2 linked regions of the Sus scrofa genome follow. The protein of the gene in region 2 purifies or fractionates together with the protein of the main gene of each other region. This does not show direct contact. Links are inferred from orthologs where the notes say so. Each region holds a gene or a part of one and is shown on either strand. Other genes may lie near its edges.

The links.
Region 1: the proteins of TRIM24 (region 2) and SSRP1 purify together in Homo sapiens (affinity purification with mass spectrometry; 3 studies listed by BioGRID and IntAct, with this or other methods). This does not show direct contact. The link is inferred for Sus scrofa from reciprocal best matches to the Homo sapiens genes TRIM24 and SSRP1.

Annotation. Positions count from the first base shown.
Region 1 is NC_010444.4:13,614,224-13,625,230, reverse strand, and holds the start of SSRP1 (FACT complex subunit SSRP1), read right to left. Parts: upstream 5,511-11,007; 5' UTR 5,350-5,510; intron 4,853-5,349; 5' UTR 4,768-4,852; coding exon 4,714-4,767; intron 4,279-4,713; coding exon 4,093-4,278; intron 3,441-4,092; coding exon 3,335-3,440; intron 3,043-3,334; coding exon 2,852-3,042; intron 2,748-2,851; coding exon 2,517-2,747; intron 2,381-2,516; coding exon 2,277-2,380; intron 2,202-2,276; coding exon 2,073-2,201; intron 1,877-2,072; coding exon 1,655-1,876; intron 933-1,654; coding exon 860-932; intron 749-859; coding exon 740-748; intron 452-739; coding exon 313-451; intron 175-312; coding exon 129-174; intron 1-128. Other genes in the region: P2RX3 (P2X purinoceptor 3), read left to right, coding at 7,645-7,763. UniProt on the Homo sapiens protein: Component of the FACT complex, a general chromatin factor that acts to reorganize nucleosomes. The FACT complex is involved in multiple processes that require DNA as a template such as mRNA elongation, DNA replication and DNA repair.
Region 2 is NC_010460.4:11,050,583-11,060,569, forward strand, and holds the end of TRIM24 (transcription intermediary factor 1-alpha), read right to left. Parts: intron 7,850-9,987; coding exon 7,700-7,849; intron 6,889-7,699; coding exon 6,679-6,888; 3' UTR 4,629-6,678; downstream 1-4,628. UniProt on the Homo sapiens protein: Transcriptional coactivator that interacts with numerous nuclear receptors and coactivators and modulates the transcription of target genes.

The sequences.
Region 1 (11,007 bases), on a different chromosome or scaffold from region 2:
TCACTGGAAGTCACTTTTCCACCCTCGGTCAGCTGCTAATGCTGAGACGTGGGAATGTCCAAAAATCTTCTGGTCCCTTAAGCTTAGAGGCCACCACCTCACCCCCACGAGGTGGACCCAAAACTCACTCCTCTGCCACGTCTTCCTCCTCTTCACCTGGGTTGAATGACTCATCTGAAAAAGAGCACAGGACACATCAGCTCGGCCCCCCAGGGAAATCCAGAGGCCCAGCTCCAGCCCCAGGGTGAGCCCAGCCCTGGCCCCAGGGAGAGCCAACCGCCCCAGTGCCGGGCACTGCCCAGGCGAACTCACCGGTTTCTTCTCCTGAGTCATCGCTGCTGTCATTGGCATTCTCCTCCCGGATCTTGCCCTCCTCCTTCATCCGCTCCAGGTAAGCATCATGCTGGTCTTCATCAGAGTCGGCATATTCATCGTAGCTGGGGTTCATGCCCTGGCCAGGGAAGAGGCGCGAGTGAGGGCCGGCCCACCCTGGTGCCTGCACACTCAAAAGCACTCCCCATGCCTGTGAGTAGATCAGAGCAGCAGTGCCCAGAAGACCCTGGGGCCAGATTGTCCACACACAGCCGATGTGTAGGGCCTTGGCCCAGGACTTCCTGCCAAGGCGGTTAGTCCAAGCCCCTCCCTCTCCCAGCCCCACTGGGGGCTCCTAAGGGGTTGCAGAAACTGCTCTAAGGTCATGCTGAGGAAACCTGCACCGGGAGGGGAAGGGTCACACCACCTCTTTTTTCTATAAGGGTAAGAAGAGAAGAGAAAGTGAAAAGGAGGCCGGAGAAAGCCCTGCCCCTTCCCCACAGAAAGAACAGGAGGGGGGCTCACCCTTCTCCACCCACAGAGGTACCTCTTTCAGTCCTCGGTTTTTGATGTTGAGTTTTTTGGCATTGACAAAATCGAACAGCTTCCCGTACTCCTCCCTGTGAGGGGAGATGCACTGTGTGACCAGACAGGACGGGTCAATGCAGGGGTGAACCTGGTGCTGTCCTGACACTCAGCCAGGGGAGCCGGGAGCTCTTGACCACACGGTCCAACCAAGAGCTCAGAGACCCCCAGACGATGGCGTTGAGAAAGAGTCAGACGCCAGTCTCCAAGGCAACCTACATGGTCTCAAGAGTTTGGGAAAAGAAAAGGCGGTGGGGGGGGGAACCTATTTACCGAAATGCACAGGGCAGGGGGAGGATGTCAGTGGGAGAGGGGGGTTCCATCATCTTTTTACTGGTCTGGATTTCATACTTCTCAGGGTGGTTATGAGGATTAAGTGTGAGGTTGTTTGTAAAACGTTTAGCCCACAGCGAGCACTCAATAGGCATTAGCTGCCGTGTTCTCGGGCACGAAGCTCATTCCAGGAAAGAGGGAGATAGTATTTCCATCGTGGGGTGAGGGGAGGAGGGGAAGGGCTAGCACTAAACACACAGAGCTTTCGTAATACGGAGAACCATTCTCTTTTAAGTACAGGAAGAAAAGCAACAGAGAGACTGCCAAAGGCTGAGCACTCCAAGGAGGAGGACCAAATTCCAGAAAGCAGAAGAAAAATTCCGCCCGAGGCCTGAAAAGTCAGTGGGGAGCCCCAGGCCAGACTTCTCGGTCGAGGCCAGGTCAGGACCAGGATGCTCGGGAAGTGACTGGCAGAGGAGCTCACCTCTCAATGCTACTGAAGGTATACTGAGTGCCCTGCTTGGTCTCAATCTCAAAGTCAAATGAACGGGTGGTGGTGGTACCACGGGCGAAGTTGACAAAGGAGATCTCGTCGAAGCGGATGTGCACTGGTGGCTTGTGGACGTAGATGAAGCCCCGCTCCAGTGGGTACAGCAGTCCGGAGCTGGCCTTGTAGGAGCAGGTGATGCACTGGGCCCCCGAATGCCTGGTGGAAGGTAAAGGGCCTCCAGTCAGCGCCCACCTCAGCAGCAGGGGGCATAGGGCCAGAGGGCACACCCCTTGGCAGCCACACCCCAACCAGGCCAGTAAGGGGCTGCATGCCCAACCCGGGAGGCGTTTACTGTGGAGACATGGCACAGCCCATCCCCGGGCCGGCCGGCAGCCCAGGCCTGCACCCTCACCCTTGGAAGTTGCCTGGGACTGTGATCTTGCGGTTCACCAGTGCCTTCATGACCCGGCTGACCATCTCGTAGAGGGATCCTGACATGTTCTTGGTGAGCCGCCCCTCAAAGCGCTTCTCCACCTCTTCCCTGCAAACAAGACGCGTGGTCACAAGCACTGCTGCCTTCGGATGGCACAGCTGCCCAGACCAGGGACACACTCACTCGTTCATGTTGAGAGTCAAGGAGATGTCCTCGTCCTTGGAGAAGAGGAGGATCAGGAAGTGGTAGCGGGTCTGGCCCTGCTTGATGGGGGGATCCAGGCTGATCTGGGAAGGAAGAGCCGACCAAGTTCAGCAGCAGTCAGTGCTCCACAGGGCCGTGCGGCTAACTGAATGTGGGGGAGATCTGTCTACTAAAGACGGGGGCAAAACCCAGCACAATGCACCCCCAGTGGTTTCTTACCACAAAGAACATCTGGCGCTGGTCCTTGTGGGGCAGCAAAAAGAGACGCAGCACTGTGGTGTAGGGGATCTTGTAATCGAAAGTCTTGCCGTGTAGGTGCAGAAAAGTGGGGTAGATGCGAATGTCGTAACGGCCTCGGGGAGTCAGACACTGCAGCTCCCGGAAGATGCAGATGGCATCTCCGGTGGCCTGGATCACATCCGCCTTCGACAGCACATTCTGGGCAAAGGCCTATAAGAGCACACCCTGGCAATCGAGCAGCAGAGATCCTGCTCCTGGGCCACCCAGGGCCTGCTCAGCACCATCTGCTCCCAAGAGACCAGGGGAGGCCTCACCTCAACGGGGTCCACGCCATCCTCCTGGGTGGGGGGCACGTAGAAGCGCACCTCCATGAGAGAGACCTCTGCATCGTCATTCTGGTGGAATTCCAGTGTCACCTCATTCTTGCCTGTGGTACACTGGGACACGTTGCTGAGAGGGATCTCGAAGACCGGCTGGTCACCAATGTCAAAGGAAAGCAGCTGCCCTGTAGGAAAGGGCACACTGAGCCACAAGCTCCTTCCCTCGGCTCCGCATAAACAATGTTCCTTCCTACCAGCCTAGAGGCTCCCAAAGGACAGGGCACTGAGACCATTTTGTTCGCACTGTGCCCCAGGGACCGGGCACAGTGCCTCATACAGTGTTGGTCCTCGATAAATACGTGATGAATTACAAACTGGTAGGAAATCAGAAACAGCGGAGGAGAGCAAAACAAGTTAAAGGCTGAAACCCTTCAGCCTACCTCCTCCCCGCAAACCTCAATCTTCCCCAGGACTCACCCCCAAACTTCACTGTTCCCCAGTTCCAACCCTTCACACAGAGGTCCTTTTCCATCAGCTCAAGGCGATAGTGAGTTTTGAAGAAATCAGAGAGTTTCTCGAACTCCTGTGGGAAGAGGGGAAAGAACAAGCCCAGTGAAACCCCAGTAGCCTTAACACAGAACTTGAGGGTCCTGAGATTATCTGCTTCTGAGAAACGACCCCAATAAACTTTCATCAGAAATCCACGCTGACTTAGAGCTATAATATTGTTAAAACACTGTTGAAAAAGGCTATTTCTGGGGACTGGCTGGACTCGGGCTGGGGGAGGAGTAAAGTAAGGACTGACACTCCTGCTTGCAGGTCTCACAGTGTTTTTCTGACTTTGGACAGGTATTCCTTTAGTGAAAGTGGAAATGAAGTAAAGTCTTTAACACAAGCCGTTCAAAATGGAAAAACAACACCAACCTAAAACCTCAAGGTAAGCCCCTGAACCTGGATAAGGCAACAGGCAGAAACCACCAAAAAAAAAAAAAAAAAAAAAAAAAAAAAAAAAAAATCAAAACAGTAGAAAAGTTTCTGGAGTTAAAGCACAAAGAAACTCCCGAGACTCTGCAGCCCAAAGCTGAACACTGACTGCTTAATGGCTTCCACGGTCCTGCTTTAAGGATCCCAAACTAGCAACTGCACGGTTATCAGAAGGAGCCCCACTTCTCTCAAGAAGATTAAAACTAAAGAAGATGGCACAGTAAAGGGGGCTATGGCAAGGGGCATCTCACCGATTCTCGGAAGCCGTCGTACTTGTAGACGTGGCCATTTTTCGTGAGCAGTTTAAGTCCATGGCCCAGAGCTACTCGGCGCCAGATCCCTTCGGTCAACTCCCCAGCCTGGATGTTGTCCACTTTGCCCGTTTTACTGTTCTTGAAGATGATGCCCTGGCGGCTCAACCTCAGCCGACCATCATTCTGTTGGGAAAACAGGCCCAAATGCACAGGGACGACCATAGCGTAGAGCAGGGACGGTCCCACCCAACACCCATTCTGGGCTGGTCAGGTATCAGGCAGGAGCAATAACAGCTGAAGTGGTGAGGGCTGGCAAGAAGAGACGAGTAAGGCCAGAAGATCTGGATTCTAATCCTCGCTCTGGCATCCAGAACCCGTGCAGGTCCTCAGTTTGGGGATTCAGGATTGAGCAGCAGGTGTAGTCCCTTCAAACTCTGACATCCTGTAACTCTTGTATCCTCACTCAGTAATGCTTCTTGTTGGGGAACTACCAAATACACATCGAACTGACTTCTTTTCCAAAGTAGCAACATCATCAGCACAAGCTCTTGCGAGTGGATAAAAAGTCTACTCCGCCTCCCTCCCTCCATCTGTTTCAAAAGCCCCAGTCCTTCTTACCATAGAGCCTTTCACCTCCTGATACACGTCGTTGAACTCCAGTGTTTCTGCCATGCTGACCTGCCCCTGTAGGCCTCAACTGGGAGCTGGGCCCCAACTCCTGGGTACGTTGTGCAGATACACAACGCAGGCTGGGAATCTGAATTGAAGAGGGATAAGTGGATTGAAGTTAAGTGGAAAAAACAACACCTCATGCTGGCCACGGAGGGAGCCTAGTGGCAACCCTTCCTGTGCCTGGGATGTCTCACGATCTCCCTGCCTGGGAACCCTGCAAGCCGGTTCTGCAGAACTCCAGGGCCAGGCCCGGCCGGGGCTTAAGAAGCCGGCCCGAAGTACCTCTTACATCCCAACCAGACACCCCCTCTGGGCGCTCCACCGGGCGCCATGGCAACGAGCAGCGGAACCCCTGGGCCATCCGGAGCCCGCACCTCGCCCGCGCCCCAACCCCGCTCAAAAAGCACGAGTTCCCTCCCAGCGCTCCCACCGCGCCGCGGCCCCAGGCCCACAGTTCTCCCCTCCCGCTAAAATGGATTCGCCCGCTGCCCGCGGATTCCAACGCGGAACAGTCCATCCCACGCGTCCCGCGGGGGAGCAGGGCCCTCGCCTTCCTGGGGCGCGGCGATAGCGACCACCTACTTTCTCAAGCTGCGGCCTCAGACGGCCCGCAAGCGGGCGGTGGGCTCGCTGGGGGACGCAGCGGGGGTGTAGGGTCCGGGGGGTCCGGGGGGGACGCTGGGGAAGCTTTTCCCGCGTGCGCGGCCCCGCGTCCCGCCACCGGAAGCCCAGCACGGACCATAGAGAGGAGGAGCCGGCTAGAGAGGCGCGAAACGCGGCCCGCCTTCGAGGCGGTCCCATAGAGCGTCCACAGCGCTGGAGGACCTGAGGGAAGCCGGGTTACACTGATGTCCCGCCCGTTTGGCGTCCGACTAGAAAATGGGAGCGTGTCGGGCTCTTTAAAAATCACAGACACTCCTTCCGGGAACGACAAGACTTTAAAGAGAAACTGTGTAGTTGCATTTTATCAGACTTGCCAAAGATGCGTGTGCGTGCGTAGCAATGACGGGCGACTCTCTCCCGCCCCATAGTGGTTTCTGTGGAATAGAAAGGAGTTTGTAGGACAAGAAGGAAAATATTTAACGACTTGTGGAGAGAAATGACCCCTCCCACTGGCTTCGAAGAGAATGCGAGTGTTGGTATCGCTGTGACTATACTGCTCACCCCTGTCACAAGGGATTGGATCCTTTTTGAAGTGAGTTCACTGCACCCCAAAACTTGACATCGATAAATGCAAGGTTTGAGTCTCCTGGAAGAGGCTGGCCAGCGGCGGCGGCGGCGGCGGTATCAGGTTCAAGTGCTGGTGTCACATTCACCGTGGAGCCAGAACTGATTTGAAATCACAGCAGCCTGGGCTTTCATAAGCCAGATCCCCCTTATGGAGTCCTAGGGTGCACCTCGCAAAATCAGAGGAGGCTGGACGAGTAAGAGATGTTTGGATTCGTCTGCTCCAGCTTCCTTTTGAAGATCGGGAAACTGAGGCCCTAAGAGGAGTGGCCTGGGGAACAAAACCCAAAATCTACTTAGCCCGTCTAGTGATTCTCCATTCGGAATGATTGATAATAGATGTCAAGTATACAAAACATTGAGACAGAATATTTAAACTCCAGATTTCTTTGACAGTCTGACCTACAGTTACCCCAGCTTGGGACACAAGATGACGTGAATGCACTGTTGCTCCCTGAACTCACGACTTTAACCTCTGGGTAATGGCTGTTCCCACGCTATCTAGCAACATAAGCCAACTAGATTCAACAGATATGTGTTGAACTCTAACACAGTGATAGGATTTGTGGAAACTAGTAAACAAGATGGAAACAGCCCCAGTTTTCCAGGCATGTGACATCTAATAAATGATTCAAATAAGTAAACTGATGGTAAAACAAAATAGAACAAGAAAATACCCAATGTGGGAGTTCCCTTCGTGGCTCAATGGTTAATGAACCCAACTAGGCTCCACAAGGATGTGGGTTCGATCTCTGACCTCCTTCAGCGGGTTAAGGATCTGGTGTTGCCGTGAGCTGTGGTGTAGGTCGCAGAAGCAGCTCGGATCCCACGTGGCTGTGGCTGTGGCATAGGCCGGCAGCTGTAGCTCTGATTCGACCCCCTAGCATTGGTAACCTCATATGCCATGGGTACGGCCCTAAAAAGCAAAAAAAGAAAAAGAAAAGAAAAAGGAAAAAAACCCAATGTGATAGTGCTCTGCAGGTAGAGCTTCAGTCACTGCCAACATGAGTAAGAAATAGGAACTATGTAACCCCAATCACCCTCACCCAGGAGACCAAGAGAAACATTCAGGAGACCCCTCCCCTTGACCCATGTATTGCCGGCAACTCAGGAAGGGAGGAGACGCCTGCAGAATTGAACGGCTTTAAGGAAGACACTCTGGATTGAAGGGGATACTCAGCTCAGGCAGGCTATTAGGTGGCTGGGGAGTGGTGTGTTGCAAGGGGCTTTAAAGAGAGCATGAAGCAGCTGGTGAGCCGGGATGAAGATGCAGCATAAGAGGATGGAACCGAAACGATAGACAGAGTGCAGATAAAACATGAGTCCTAGAGGGCCCTAGCCAGCTGCATCCCAGGCAATCAGGAGCCTGGGATTGGAGACCCCACCCCTACCATGACATCACAGGGGAGTGGGGTGGAGACGAACAAAAAGGGGGTCCCCCGCCCTGGCCTTGGACTCTTGGCAGCTCAGAGTGTCAAGAGCAGAGAGGAGCTGGGCACTGGGCTTAGGTGCCTGACTTAAAGGAACAGCCTGCCCTTTCCTTGAGCCCCTCTAAGCTGCCCCCTCCAGACCTTGATCTCTGTCTCCCCATCTGATGACCTCTCCCTCCTGAGGCCACCACTGGGTCCCTTCTGAGGGGTCATTCTCAGCATGAACTGCATCTCAGATTTCTTCACCTACGAGACCACCAAGTCTGTGGTTGTGAAAAGCTGGACCATTGGGATCATCAACCGAGCAGTTCAGCTCCTGATCATCTCCTACTTTGTGGGGTGAGTCTGTGAACCTTCAGGTTCCAGGAAAGGAGGGCTTCCTGGGGTCCTGCCCCCCCCCGCCCCGGCCCCTCAGTGTCGCTGGCCAGCTGCCTGAGCATCTCCCCTCTGGGTGCAGGGGGTGGGGGGGGGGAGTGCAGGGAGAGTCTACTTTGTGGGACCACATCCCAGGAATTGGCCTCTGCTGCCACCACTGGGCATCTGGTCCCCAGATGAGTTCCTTTTCCCAGTGAATCCTCCGGAGTCGGACAGTAGGCACACAGCCCTCGGAGAGGAGTCCTTGTTCGCGGACCCCCCTCGGCCAGGAGCAGTCCCAGTGACCACAACCTTCCCCTCTCCCAGCTCCCCCTGACCCCCAACCAGAGAACAGCCAGACCCCCCCTACACACACACATTCCCCTCAATCAACTCTTTGGGGGTCTCAGAAAGGCGAGAGAGCCGGGAAGAGGGAAGGGAGGATGCTGAAACAATGGAGATGTGCCCGTTGATGAGGCGGATGGCAGAGTGGGAGGGAGAGGATGGACCCGCTCTCGAATCAGGGACTCCCCTCGGGCGGGGCGGGGGGGTGGACAGTGCGAAGAGGATGTGGAAGGGGAGAGGAGGCCCTTGCTCTTGGAGAGTAGGACAAAGCAGGGGTGGGGTGGGGGAATCTGCCCCAGGGGTGGGGGCGGGGGAGAAACCCAGATACAAATACCAGTTAGGGGAAGAGTTATTGGGAAGAACAGTGGCTTTTCCAAACATCATGTAGAGATCCTCCTTAAGAATCCAGAAACGCTCCCCTTTATCAGAAAGCACACAGTTCCGAGTCTACCTGACTCTGTACCCTCTAACCCGTCCTGGGAGTTACTTAAGAGCCGATAAGGGCTGCGCACCTCTTCTTGGCCCCCACCTCTTGGAGGCACCCCCCTACCTGCGCGCGCGCGCACACACACACACACACACACACAAACACAAACGCAAAAGTCCGTGAGCGGACAGTGGCCCAAGGGGCAGGGGAAACAGGTTCTGTCCTTCCTGTGGTCATTCACACCAGGAAAGACAGGCAGAATCCTGGGGGCTTTTCCTTCCTGCCCTGGGGGTCTCTAGCCTCATGCTGTTCCTTGGCCAGTGGGTCTGCGACAGAAAGGCACTGCGGACTGTCACGAGTTAACACAAGGAAAGCAAAGGAGATGTGGGGGTAGGGGCTGGCGTGTGAGGGGCCCCACTGGCCTGCGAGGTCGGAGTAGCGTGTGAAGGTGTGTGCGGAAAGGTGAGCAGGTGCGGATCAAGGGATTTTGGTTTTGCTCCATGTGCTTGGTGAGAAGCACTGGGCTTCGTTTATGCAGATGTTGTAGGCCAGGCGGTCCATCTGGAGCTCCTTGCAGGAATGTTGAAGGGATTCAAGCTTTGGGGTAGGATTAAACGGCCTGTAAGTTCCCTTCCAACTTGGAGGTTTCCTGAGATCTGGTGTTGGGACGTGTTCCCCCATCTGCAGCCCCAGGGCTCAGCTGGGAGTTGGTTCTTAGAGACTCCATGTTCGTGTGCGTATGTGACGCTATTGTCTACAACCGCAAAATGGTATGTGGGTCCAGGTGAGTGTCAAAGCTGCCTCAGCACATTCCGGGCTGGCCAGCCTGGCCTTGTTGGCTCCAAGCTGGAGATTGATGGAGGGTAGACACGGCAGGCTCCAGGCCCCATCGGCTCGCCCCCACCCACACACTGCCCTCTCATCTTGATCCATCTGAGGCTCTATCCTCCGTGCTGGAGCCCCGCCTGCTGGGGCGGGCGTGAGAGGCTCTTTGGCGTCTTGGTACCCAAGCCCATCCATCTCCCAGCCTGACAGCTCCCCACGGAGCAGCGCCTGCCATCAGTGCGCTCTTCGGCCCAGCCTCCCCACCCCCCGGGCCCCATCTTTGTGCACGTGAGCCCAAGCACCGTTAGGATTTACAAATCCATTGTCCTGAATGAAGCAAAAATGTATGGAGCATCTTTTCACGGGAGGCGTTCTGCGTGGAGCAGAAAGCAGTGGGCAAAAACAGGAAGGGTCCTCACCCTTCTGGAGCTTCTGGTGCCAGAGATGGGCATTAATCAAATCAACCCCGCAAACAAATGTCAAATTCCAGCTGTGGCTCAGGGTTGAAGAAGAGACGGACGGTGCTGAGAGGGCGGCTAGGATAGAGGTCCTTGACCTGGTCAGGGAAGGCCAGGCTTTCTGGAGATGTGACATTTAAGCTGAGAGCTGAAGGATGAGGGGAAGCAACCCAGGTGAGAGAGAGGAAGGAAGGGGGTCCAAGGCAGAGAAGCCCAGCTCTGCCAAGGGAAGGAGCCTGGCAGGCGGGGAAGAAAAGGTTTTTGGCTGGAGCAGAGGGACCACAGGCTGTGGGGGGTGTGAAATGGGGGTGGGGTCACAGACGGAGGCCAGACCTGGAGACCTTCAGATCTCTCGTTTTTACAGAAGCGGAATGGATATGGATGAGAAACTACTGATGTGTTTGGACCTATGTGGGGTGGGGGAGATGGGAAGACCACCCTGGCTGAGACACCAAGGGGTTGGAGCGGGTAGAAGCAGATGCAGCAAAACCTGTGACGAGAGGATGCAGTCATGTGAAGAGAGATGACCATGGCTTAGACTCGAGAGAATCTGAAAGGATTTTGAGCGCTTTGATGTTAATGCTTAACTAATACTTGAATCTCTTCTGTATTAGTCCTGCCAGGTAGACCAGATGCATCGCTTTACCCAGACCGTGTGTGACATGAGCCAACCATTTCTCTTTGCACACAACACACCACTGAATCATTTACACACACACACACACACACACACACACACACACACACACTCACACCTCTAGCCTCAGCTGCCTGTCTGTGGTTGACACCACTTCGTCCTGCCTTCCTTACATAACCCAGGTGCACAGAGAGCAGAATGTACTAGGAGTTTCTCACACTGTCTTTTCTGGGCCTAAGTGGTGATGCCCAGTCTCCTGGCAGGGGCGGGGGAGAACTTCCTGGGATCCAGTCCCCTTTCTGGATCCTATGGGCCCCTGAGGAGGAGGAAGGCAAAGATCCCTGGGGCCTGAGTCACCAGAAGCCAGGGCTTGGCCTGAGGTTGGTTTCCAGGGCCTTCCTGGAGGAAGCCACCGCCCTGCAAGCCAGCAGCAAGAGTGGTCCCAGCCCTTCGATGCTCCCTCCACGGGAAGGGCCTGTGGTGGTTGATGGCACCTCTGACCCGGCCAAGCCCTGCTCTCCGTGCCCTGTTCAAGGC
Region 2 (9,987 bases):
AATACAGAGGACAACTGGCTCAAGAAGTGTCCCCCTCTTTCAGATAATTCCTTGACTTAATGGATTCCAGCTGGTTTGGGACATGGAAACCCTGGCTCAGGAACACTCTTCAATCCATGGGCATTATTCTGATGCTAAAAACTATTGCTGCCCTAATATGCTGTGTTCTCAGGAAGGTTTTACATGCACCTATGCAGCCACGGACCAGCCAACACATCATCTGGCCAGAACAACCAGAGAGAACAGAAGAACATAACCAAGGCCAAGAGTATGAGCCTGAAATCTCTTCCGTTACACGAAGCCCCAAAGAGGAAATGGTTACGAGAGTCACACTACAACAGACATTTTTGATCAAAAATTCTCAAATGGTCAAGACGATAATGAAAAGGTGCTATTACTGGGAGTTCCCGTCATGGCTCAGTGGTTAACGAATCTGACTACGAACCATGAGATTGCGGGTTTGATCCCTGGCCTTGCTCAGTGGGTTAAGGATCCGGTGTTGCCGGGAGCTGTGGTGTAGGTCGCAGACGCGTCTCAGATCCTGCGTTGCTGTGGCTGTGGTGTAGGCCGGCGGCTACAGCTCCAATTAGACTCCTAGCCTGGCAACCTCCATATGCTGAGGGTGCGGCCCCAGAAAAGGCAAAATAAATAAATAAACAAAAGGTGCTATTACTGAAATAAATTTCTAGCGCAAGGTGGAGCCCCTCCTTCGAGGAGTGCCACTTAAGCAAAATAAAAGTTAAACGACTTTCATGTTCCAATAAGTGCTGTTTGACAGAAATGTCGTATATCCAGTCAGCCAACCCCCAAACGCCAAGCGACCTCTGGGCTCCATACTTTTTGCCTTGTTCCTTATTCTTTACCCTGTAAAAACTGCCTGCCTTCCCTGTTCTGCTGTTCTCTGAACCCTCGTGAATGGAGATGCCCTCTTCATGAAACGTTAAATACAGTTTGTTTGGAATACCTACCCTGGCGTCTTTAATCATTTCATTAGTTTTCAGACCTTGGTGGACTTTTTAGAAATTTTAGGTCAAAACATTTTTGATGCAAAGATGTCTTGGCTGCGTGTATACGGTCAGGCAAACAACCTGTGACATATCATAAATGAAAACTCCAAAGATCATATTAGTAGCAATTTATAATGAAAATGAAAAGATAGCAGTATTGAGAACCACGGTCGACCACTGACACAACTCAAGCTTCAGTAATTTCCCAAGGATTTCAGGAACTTTCAATACTTGTGGGAAGTCACCTGAATTAAGATATTTTAAAATGTTGCCTAGCACTGCCTAGGACCCAAGCTTCCTAGAAAAACACTCATTTGGTCTACAGCAACTTTATCAACATAATTTTAACTGAAATACTGAAAGAAATGTCCAAAATCCCTTATAAACTCTGGTACATTGCTTACCTTAGCAGCACAGGCACTAGCAGAAACGGAAGTCAACCAATTTCGGGTTTACCTTTCAGAACTCATAAAAGACAACACTGTGATGAAGTAACACAAGCGGAATCTTTCTACAGGCATGTTGTGCTTTATGCAATAAGACGGAGGTTGACTTTGTCTGAATCTAATAGTTTTTTGGGTTTGGGTTTTTTTTTTTCCTTTTAGGGATGCCGGTGTGGCATACAGAAGTTCCCAGGGTAGGAGTCGAATTGGAGCTGCAGCCAGCTGCAGGGCCACAGCCACAGCAATTCAGGACCTGAGCCCCATCTGTGACCTACACCACAGCTCACAGCAACGCTGGACCCCTGTCCCACTGAGCGAGGCCAGGGACTGAACTCGTGTCCTTACGGATGCTAGTTGGGTTCGTTATTGCTGATCCACAACCGAACTCCTCTAACAGTTCCTCTAATAGAAGAGAATTTGATTGATTCCTGTCTCTTCAAAGCAGTCTAGAGTGGCCAAAAAAAAAAAAAAAAAAAAAAAAGAAAAAAAAAATCCTTCTGTAATGTAAATGCCAAAACCTTTTATCTTGGACTTTTTGGATCCTGGGCTTTCTTAAGATACACCTTCATTAGTAAATGCCTTATGCAATCAGATTAAAGAAACAGAATCATAAGCAAAGCATGCTAACTGGTGACTTACTGAGCTTGTTGCCACTCCTCTTCTTTCCAAGGAGCAAGACCGATTTCCTTTGGGACCACACACCACTTCTCAGGTCAGTACATTCCCGACATGCTCAACTCTGGGTGATCCTTATATTCTATCCCCTCCCCTCAACGACAACCAGGTTTCAGCCATTGGTTCTGGACTGAATTTTCTGGCTCACCTGACTTGGTTTAAAAAGTAGCAGAGAACATGGGTAAAGAATTCACCTTCACGGAGTTCCTGTCATGGCTCAGCAGAAATGAATCTGACTAGCATCTGTGAGAACACAGGTTCGATCCCTGGCCTTGCTCAGTGGGTTAGGGATCTGGTGTTACCATGAGCTGTGGTGCATCTCAGACGAGGCTTGGATCCAGCACTGCTGTGGCTGTAGTGCAGGGCAGCAGCTACAGCTCTGATTTGACCCCTAGCCTAGGAACCTCCATATGCCTCAGGTGCAGCCCTAAAAAGACCAAAACAAACAAACAAGAAGAATTCACAAGTATATTCCTGCATGGTTAGATGCTATTAAAATAGACTTTCTTCCATACCACATTTGAAAATGTAGGAAAGAAATTATTTTGCTAAATGTTTAGCTTGTCATGTCCAAGAAAGCATGTTTTTTAAAGGACTCGATTATGACTTTGTTATTCCGTTTAAAAACTCATTTAAAAATCAAATAGAAGGCTATTCCCACCCCCATCAATTTAAGACCTATTTGATATACAAAAGTTTTAAAAATTGTTCTAACATCTGAGAATCACAACTTTCCAAACTTTATAGGTGAAATTAACACAGGTAAACTTTTAAAGTGGCTTGTAAACTCCCTGCTGTGTTCCCCCCACCCCCTTCTTCCAACAGGCTTCAGACAAGTAGAATTTTTCATGGCCTCTTTGGTTCTCCTACTGCCAGGGTGTTGGGTTCGTTCAGGGGAGCAGGAAACAGTGACTTACCTCCTGGTGAAAACACATGCGTTAGGGCTTTTTTTCCTCTTAAAAGCTTTCCTATTTATGGACTAGTAGCTCTTCCCTATATGTATCAGTTTTACAGAGGAGCATACAAAGGTAGTCATGGAAACTCAAACTCGTTAATAGTCTACTGCATGACATACAGTCATTTCTCAGTTAACAATTCCTCTTTGTGGTAAAATATTCACAGTTTATATCCACCATAGATGATACTGATTAAATCAAAGCACCAGTTGACTCCCCCAAATTAAAAATAACCACAAAGACCTCTGCCTCAGATGTCCTTCACAATCAGCAAAACCTTCATGGGGGAGAGACCTGTGGTCTGACTGACTGGCACTATTCTGACTCAAGAACATGAGCCACCAACACGAGAATTATGACTCGGTAAGTTCACGCCCAAGATGAAGGGGCAATACATATAAAAGACATGACCTATTAACTTACATGAGGTTCTAAAATGCTTAAAAAAAAAAAAAAAAATATATATATATATATATATATATATATGCATGGTTATTTAAAAGGAGGGCCTCTATTTCCTAAGAAGTTAGATTGTTGAACTCACAGTTATGTCCGTAATTTAAAGGTCAATGAGATCACACAATTTCTTTCATTCATAACAGATACAGAGAAGCAGAAAGTAAATACAGCTTCAGTTTAAACCTAAAAACCTTTTGCTCCTATGCAGCAATCTACTTTTGGGATTCAGGTTCATTGGTAGATCAGGCCTCAACAATAGTTCCCCTCCTTTCATTGCCTAACTAGTCTCTCCATGGAACCCAAATTTAAAAGTTTAAAACACTGCAGCAGCACAGAAATTTGAAATGCAAATCCACAAATGGAGAAATTGGCTATACACTCACCCTTTGGACTGTGGAGTGAATCCTAAGCAGAGTGAAAGCACTGCTAAGTTATGTTACATCAATAGTACTGTGTAGGAGTAAAATGTGAGGTCTATTCTTGGCAAAGTCTAAACTTGGAAAAGAAAGTAAAATTACCAAAGGAAGAGCACATTTTCCCTTTGGCACCTTCCAATGTGCTACACTTCCATTCAGAAAAGATAAGCAGGGCCTGTTCAAGGACAAAATACATTAGCACTGTCAGATGCTAACGTACAATAGTGTTTCAAATAGGGTACACACTATCTAATTAAGCCTAGGCCACAGTCATGTTAAGTCGCTGTGTACTGGGTTTTTTCATTGCTAGAAAGATCAAATGCATGGCACCTGAGAAAGCTTTCCATGAGTTGAACTGAGTGAATTCTAGCTGCCACATAGCCAGCTCATCCTGTGACGACATTCAGTATTGGGGGTCCTGCAGCTATGACACAAGGCTATTGGTTTTTAAATACTGAGGGAGATCTCCTGGAGTTCTTTAAGGTCAAGGTTGCCTGAATTGCACTGACTTTCCCGGAGAATGCTCTCCAAATGGGCGTGTGGTATAGTCAGACTCATAGCTTACCTCTTATTTTAAGGATGACTGTGCTGGGATCCACCTGGGCACACAGGTGCTTGTTACAATAAGGTCATAGGACTTCAGTTTTAAAGACCATTAAAAAACTGCTATTTGGAGAGAGAAACATTTTAATATGTATAATGTTTGATTACAGGAAAGATGGGTTTCAACTGCCTTTCATTCAGCAAAAATATGAGAAAGGTGAAAGAGAATACTGCTCTGAAAGATTAATACGGCACTGAAAATAACAGTGTAAGTTCTGGGTACATTAGTAGAAATTCTGGCTCAAATGCATTTAGGAAATTACACATTTTTCTCTGTTAAGTGCTACTTCCCTTTGTGATCATCCTCAAAATCGATCCGTGTTGCCTGCTTTAACTCAGGAGACAAGTACGGAAGAAAAAAAATGTCAGAGGAACAATACAGTCTAAGATAACAACAATAAACTTACTAGCAGAATTACCATAGCTGCTGTGCTAAAAATGGTGGAGCAAAAAAAGATAAGCGGTAAATTTTGTTAACTTCTTTGGAGAATGTCAAATGCATATTCAAAACAATAAAACCACAACAACTACCCTGAAAAACCGATTTTGAAAATTAAGACGTTTTAAGCATTTAATACATGATTGATATATTGTGGACTAAACCTAAGTTTACTGCCAAGAAGTTATTTTCTCATTTTATCTCTAGCAGTATCTGAAAACCCAGTGACTTAGCCACAGAATACTTTCAAATGTCTATTTTAGGAAATGATGCTATGTGGGTAAAAGCAAGTCCTCTAGGTTGAATTCGTGAGAGATGACATGATCCAAAGGGTAAAAATTCTTCGAAGTCAGCTCTATTTTAATTCTATCAGCCGAAAGAGAAAAATTTCCTCCTTTACTGTTTCATAAATAGAGGTTTACTTTGGCAAACAAAGAAGTCCACATGTAAATGTTACTGTCACATGTTAGATTAGCACGTGGCACAAAATTTTCTTCTATCTTAATCTCATCTCCTTCTTTGACATTAACAAGTAAAGGGAATGAATGAATGTTAAAGTAGCTCTGACCCATTAAGAATATACTTGCCCTCAGAAGACAGGTCTTTTGTATCTCTATTAAGAGAACGAAAATGAAACCCAGAATTAAGTTAGATCAAAGACTCAATTTGACAGTTTGACTCTGAAAAATAGGAAATAAATGCTTCTGAAAAAAATTTTTCAGTCTAATTCCTTCCGATTGCCTGGCCCCAAATTCTACAACACACTTTCATCCGGAATTATGAAGACAGATGAAAACCACAAAAACTATTCCCTTTCAGGGGAATTTATATTTAATGCCCAATAGGGTTTAAGTTGAGGAATCCTGACATCGCATATGGCATACACTGCTGTATTTCAAATTCTGAGAAGTTCCACTAAAAGCCATACTGCAAACAATTGAGTCTTATTATAAAAGGGTCACCTGCACAGTTAAAAGGCAAACAACAAACCACACAGACACAGAGCAAAACCAAACAAGTACACTTACTTCCACAGCAGAAGGTAAGACTTAGAAACGTATGAAAAATGGCCTTGAAAACCTGCTATACCAAACACCTCTAGAGACAAGAAAAAAACAAAAACAAAAATCAAACATTCGTTTTCCTGCTTTTTTTTTAATACAGTTGCCATCTTACATGATATACTATCAGGTGCTTCGTAGTAGCATCTAATCTACTTTTTCGTTGCACCAGTGGGCATTCTAGGATAGAACTCTTTCTTACCACTCACATTCATGGAGTACTGCTCTCAAGTACAGTACACCTAACTCATGGGTTGGTCCATAATTAATGGGTAGTGGTATTTTCTAAAAATGGGTTAATGCACACATCCAAGCCATTAAACTTTCAATTTAGAGTTCATACAACATCTATTTCCTTTCTAGAATAGCTATCGCTCCAGACTGCAGTTTGAAATCCAATACGTGGGGAAAATGTCTTTTGTTGCTGATGCTTCTTTCTTTCTTCCTTTTCCTTCCTTCCTCTTCTTTGTTCTTTCTTGTAAGGTTAAAAGAAATGGGTTATTAAGAAAATCAAGTCTAGCAAACATCAAAAACTTAAAGAGTGGTCACAAACTCTTCTTGGTAATGATGTTAAATTACTGACAAAAATCTAAAAACCAGCATGGGCCAGTGGTGCTGCTTATTTAAGCAACTGGCGTTCTTCTATGCTTTTGAGGCGTTTCTTCCGGGGCTGTACAAAGTCATCATCTGAGTCGTCACTAAATTTATTATCTTCTGATTCATTCCTGAATTCTAGTTTGGGAAACTTTTTTTCCGGGTAAAGGTTCTTCAGAAGTTCTTCAAAATAGCTTTCAAGTTTTATACCGGCATTGGCTACTTCTGAATCAGGCTGTTGAATAAAAGCAAAAATATTATTTAGAAAAATCTGTAGATAATCAATAAAAGTAGTAGATTTCTCCCATTTTTGTTCCCTTTTAACTCAAGACTACAAATGCCAGTGGAGTGTTTTGGGGAAAATGTGTATGTACAGTATTGCTATAAAGTAAATGACAGTCAGGAGCTAGACAAAGTCTAGAGAAGATCAGATAAAAAGTAAATAAAAGGCCTTGACTCATCTGGATTATTCTACGAGGGGTGGTAGTCGGAGATTACCAAAGAGAGATCAAAGAGACACCATCATCACAGAATCAAGTAACAGGTATTTTTAAGAACAGATCAAATGAAATGTGGAACTCTGGAATGAGAGACTAACACAGAACCAACCCCCTCACCCCCCCCCCCAAAATCAGCAAAAGGCTGTAAGTCTGACTGATAAACTGACTGATGACAAAGTTTTGGGGAAAATTCTTAAGAACTTATTCCACATTTCAATATCAACATCACAAAGACTAAAGTTTGAAAGTGCCATATTTCAAGAAATAAAGGTGATAATGAGAATGACAAAGAATACTTTTGGTTTAGAACCAATATTTTCTAAGCTGGTTTCAAGCTGTCAGCTGTAATTCGCATTTCCCTTCACCACATAATAAACCTTCGAATATACATGCGGATAAAATCTTCCTAATTGCCTCTTTCACTCCCTGACAGACTTGAACTTTGGAAATAATACGCTACCAATGATAGTATCTTGATCTTGGTTGCTGATAAGCTATTTGGTTTAGTGTTACTCTCACATTGCTATTATTATTCTTCCTTCTCACCTCATTGAATTCGGCACAGTTTTGAAAGATCAATCTAAAATCAGCTACAAAATCTTCAGGCTTTGTATACATGGAATAATCTTCCTGTAGTCTTTTCTTGATGGTTGACAAGTCCATTGGGTTTTTAATTATTTTATAATAATCAGGCACCTTTCAAAAGAAATGAGATGCTGTAATAAATAACTAAATTCTACCTGGTCCTAAATAAATTCTATAAGAAGTAGCATAAAATTCTTATTTTTCTCACTGCTTTTCTCTGTTCTATTTTGTCATTGACAAGGCAATCTATTCAACAAAATTTACAAATGCCTACAGGCTTCCACACACTGATAAATGTTTTGTGTCGCTTTCATCAAAAATTCTCCCCAGGAGTTCCCATGGTGCCTCAGCGGTAATGAACCCAACTAGTATCCACAAGGATGCAGCCTCACTCAGTGAGATAAGGATTTGGTGGTGGTGTGATTGTCGCTGGCAGCTACAGCTCTGACCCCCGGCCTGGGAACTTACCTATGTCATGGGTGTGGCTGTAAAAAGACCAAAAAGAAAAAAGAAAAGAAAACAAAACAAAACAAAAAACCAAAACAACAACCCCGAAAACCCCACCCAAATTTTTTATTAGTTATTCCTTTTTATTTATTTATTTTTTTTGTCTTTTTGCCATTTCTTGGGCCGCTCCTGTGGCATATGGAAATTCCCAGGCGAGGGGTCTAATTGGAGCTGTAGCCGCCAGCCTAAGCCAGAGCCACAGCAATGAAGGATCCGAGCTGCGTCTGCGACCTACACCACAGCTCACAGCAACGCCGAATCGTTAACCCACTGAGCAAGGGCAGGGACCGAACCCGCACCTCATGGTTCCTAGTCGGATTCGTTATCCACTGCGCCACGACGGGAACTCCTATGAGTTATTTCTAATGAAAAAAACTTACCGCATTTCCCTCTTATTATTCTTCATCATTATTAAACAAAAAGCAATCACTAGAAAAAGCATTACTTCTAGTAAGATTTGACATGTTCTTGTTCCAAGTGTTCAGCAAGTGAGCTTTCTGAACCCCAGCTCTGCTACTCAATAGGGTACGACTTAATGAGTTACTTCATGTCACTGAAACTGTTCCTTCATATTTCAAATAGGACTAATTCCACCAGTCCCACAGGATGATGTATAGACTGAGATGATATATATTAAGAAAAAAGGGGGCTACTTTGCTGTTGCTGTTATTAATACCAAATGTTAACTGTAAGCTAACACCATAAAGAGCGCCAAACCTTAGGTTAAATTTTTAAGTGAATAAAGTTTTACTGACCTACTTTTGCCCTGCCTGTTTTGAGTACAACAGGCCCTTCCCCCTAAAAACGACTTACAGTGGAGCCTCGAACTCTGCAGGCACATGTATGCATTGATTTTTTTTCACTAAACTCACACTATAGCACTACCTGATCCATGGTGGGCTGATTCTGCAAACGGAAAGGCCCGGATGCAAGGTTACATGCCGCTTTCTAATCATGCAGAGCTGGTGCCCCAACCTCCTCACTGTTCTAATTAAGAGTTAACTGTATTGATTTTTCCTATCTCAAGTTCTCAAAACTTGTTTTCAAGAAATTTTAATTTTGCATAAAATTTTTAAAATTTATTGAACTGTACATCTATTAATTTTTAAAAGGAATTTCAGACATCAGAGAATAGAACAACACATTTTGAGTAGCAGGCCCTTACTAGCACCATTATAATGAGACTATGCATTAAAGTCACATCAAACTTCAACTACGAAGCCTTTTGAAGTCAATGGTAAACACATACACACACACACACACAAATACACCTCTCTTCTTCTACTGTTAAAAGTCTAGGAGTTCCCATCGTGGCACAGTGGTTAACGAATCCGACTAGGAACCATGAGGTTGCGGGTTCGATCCCTGGCCTTGCTCAGTGGGTTAACGATCCGGCGTTGCCGTGAGCTGTGATGCAGGCTGCAGATGCGGCTCGGATCCCGAATTGCTGTGGCTCTGGCATAGGCTGGCGGCTACAGCTCCGATTAGACCCCTAGCCTGGGAACCTCCATATGCCGCGGGAGCGGCCCAAGAAAAGGCAAAAAGACCAAAAAAAAAAAAAAAAAAAAAGTCTATTTATTGCTTGAAGTTTGGACCTATAAACTCAAATGTGTACAGAGAACTTTGAGGCAGGGGATCTTTATCTGAAATACAAAGTTTTTTTTCCCAACAGCTTAGGACATGTATGTAAAACTCCTGAGACAGAAACGATAGAAAGCATCCCAGAGAATAGCAGGTAAAAT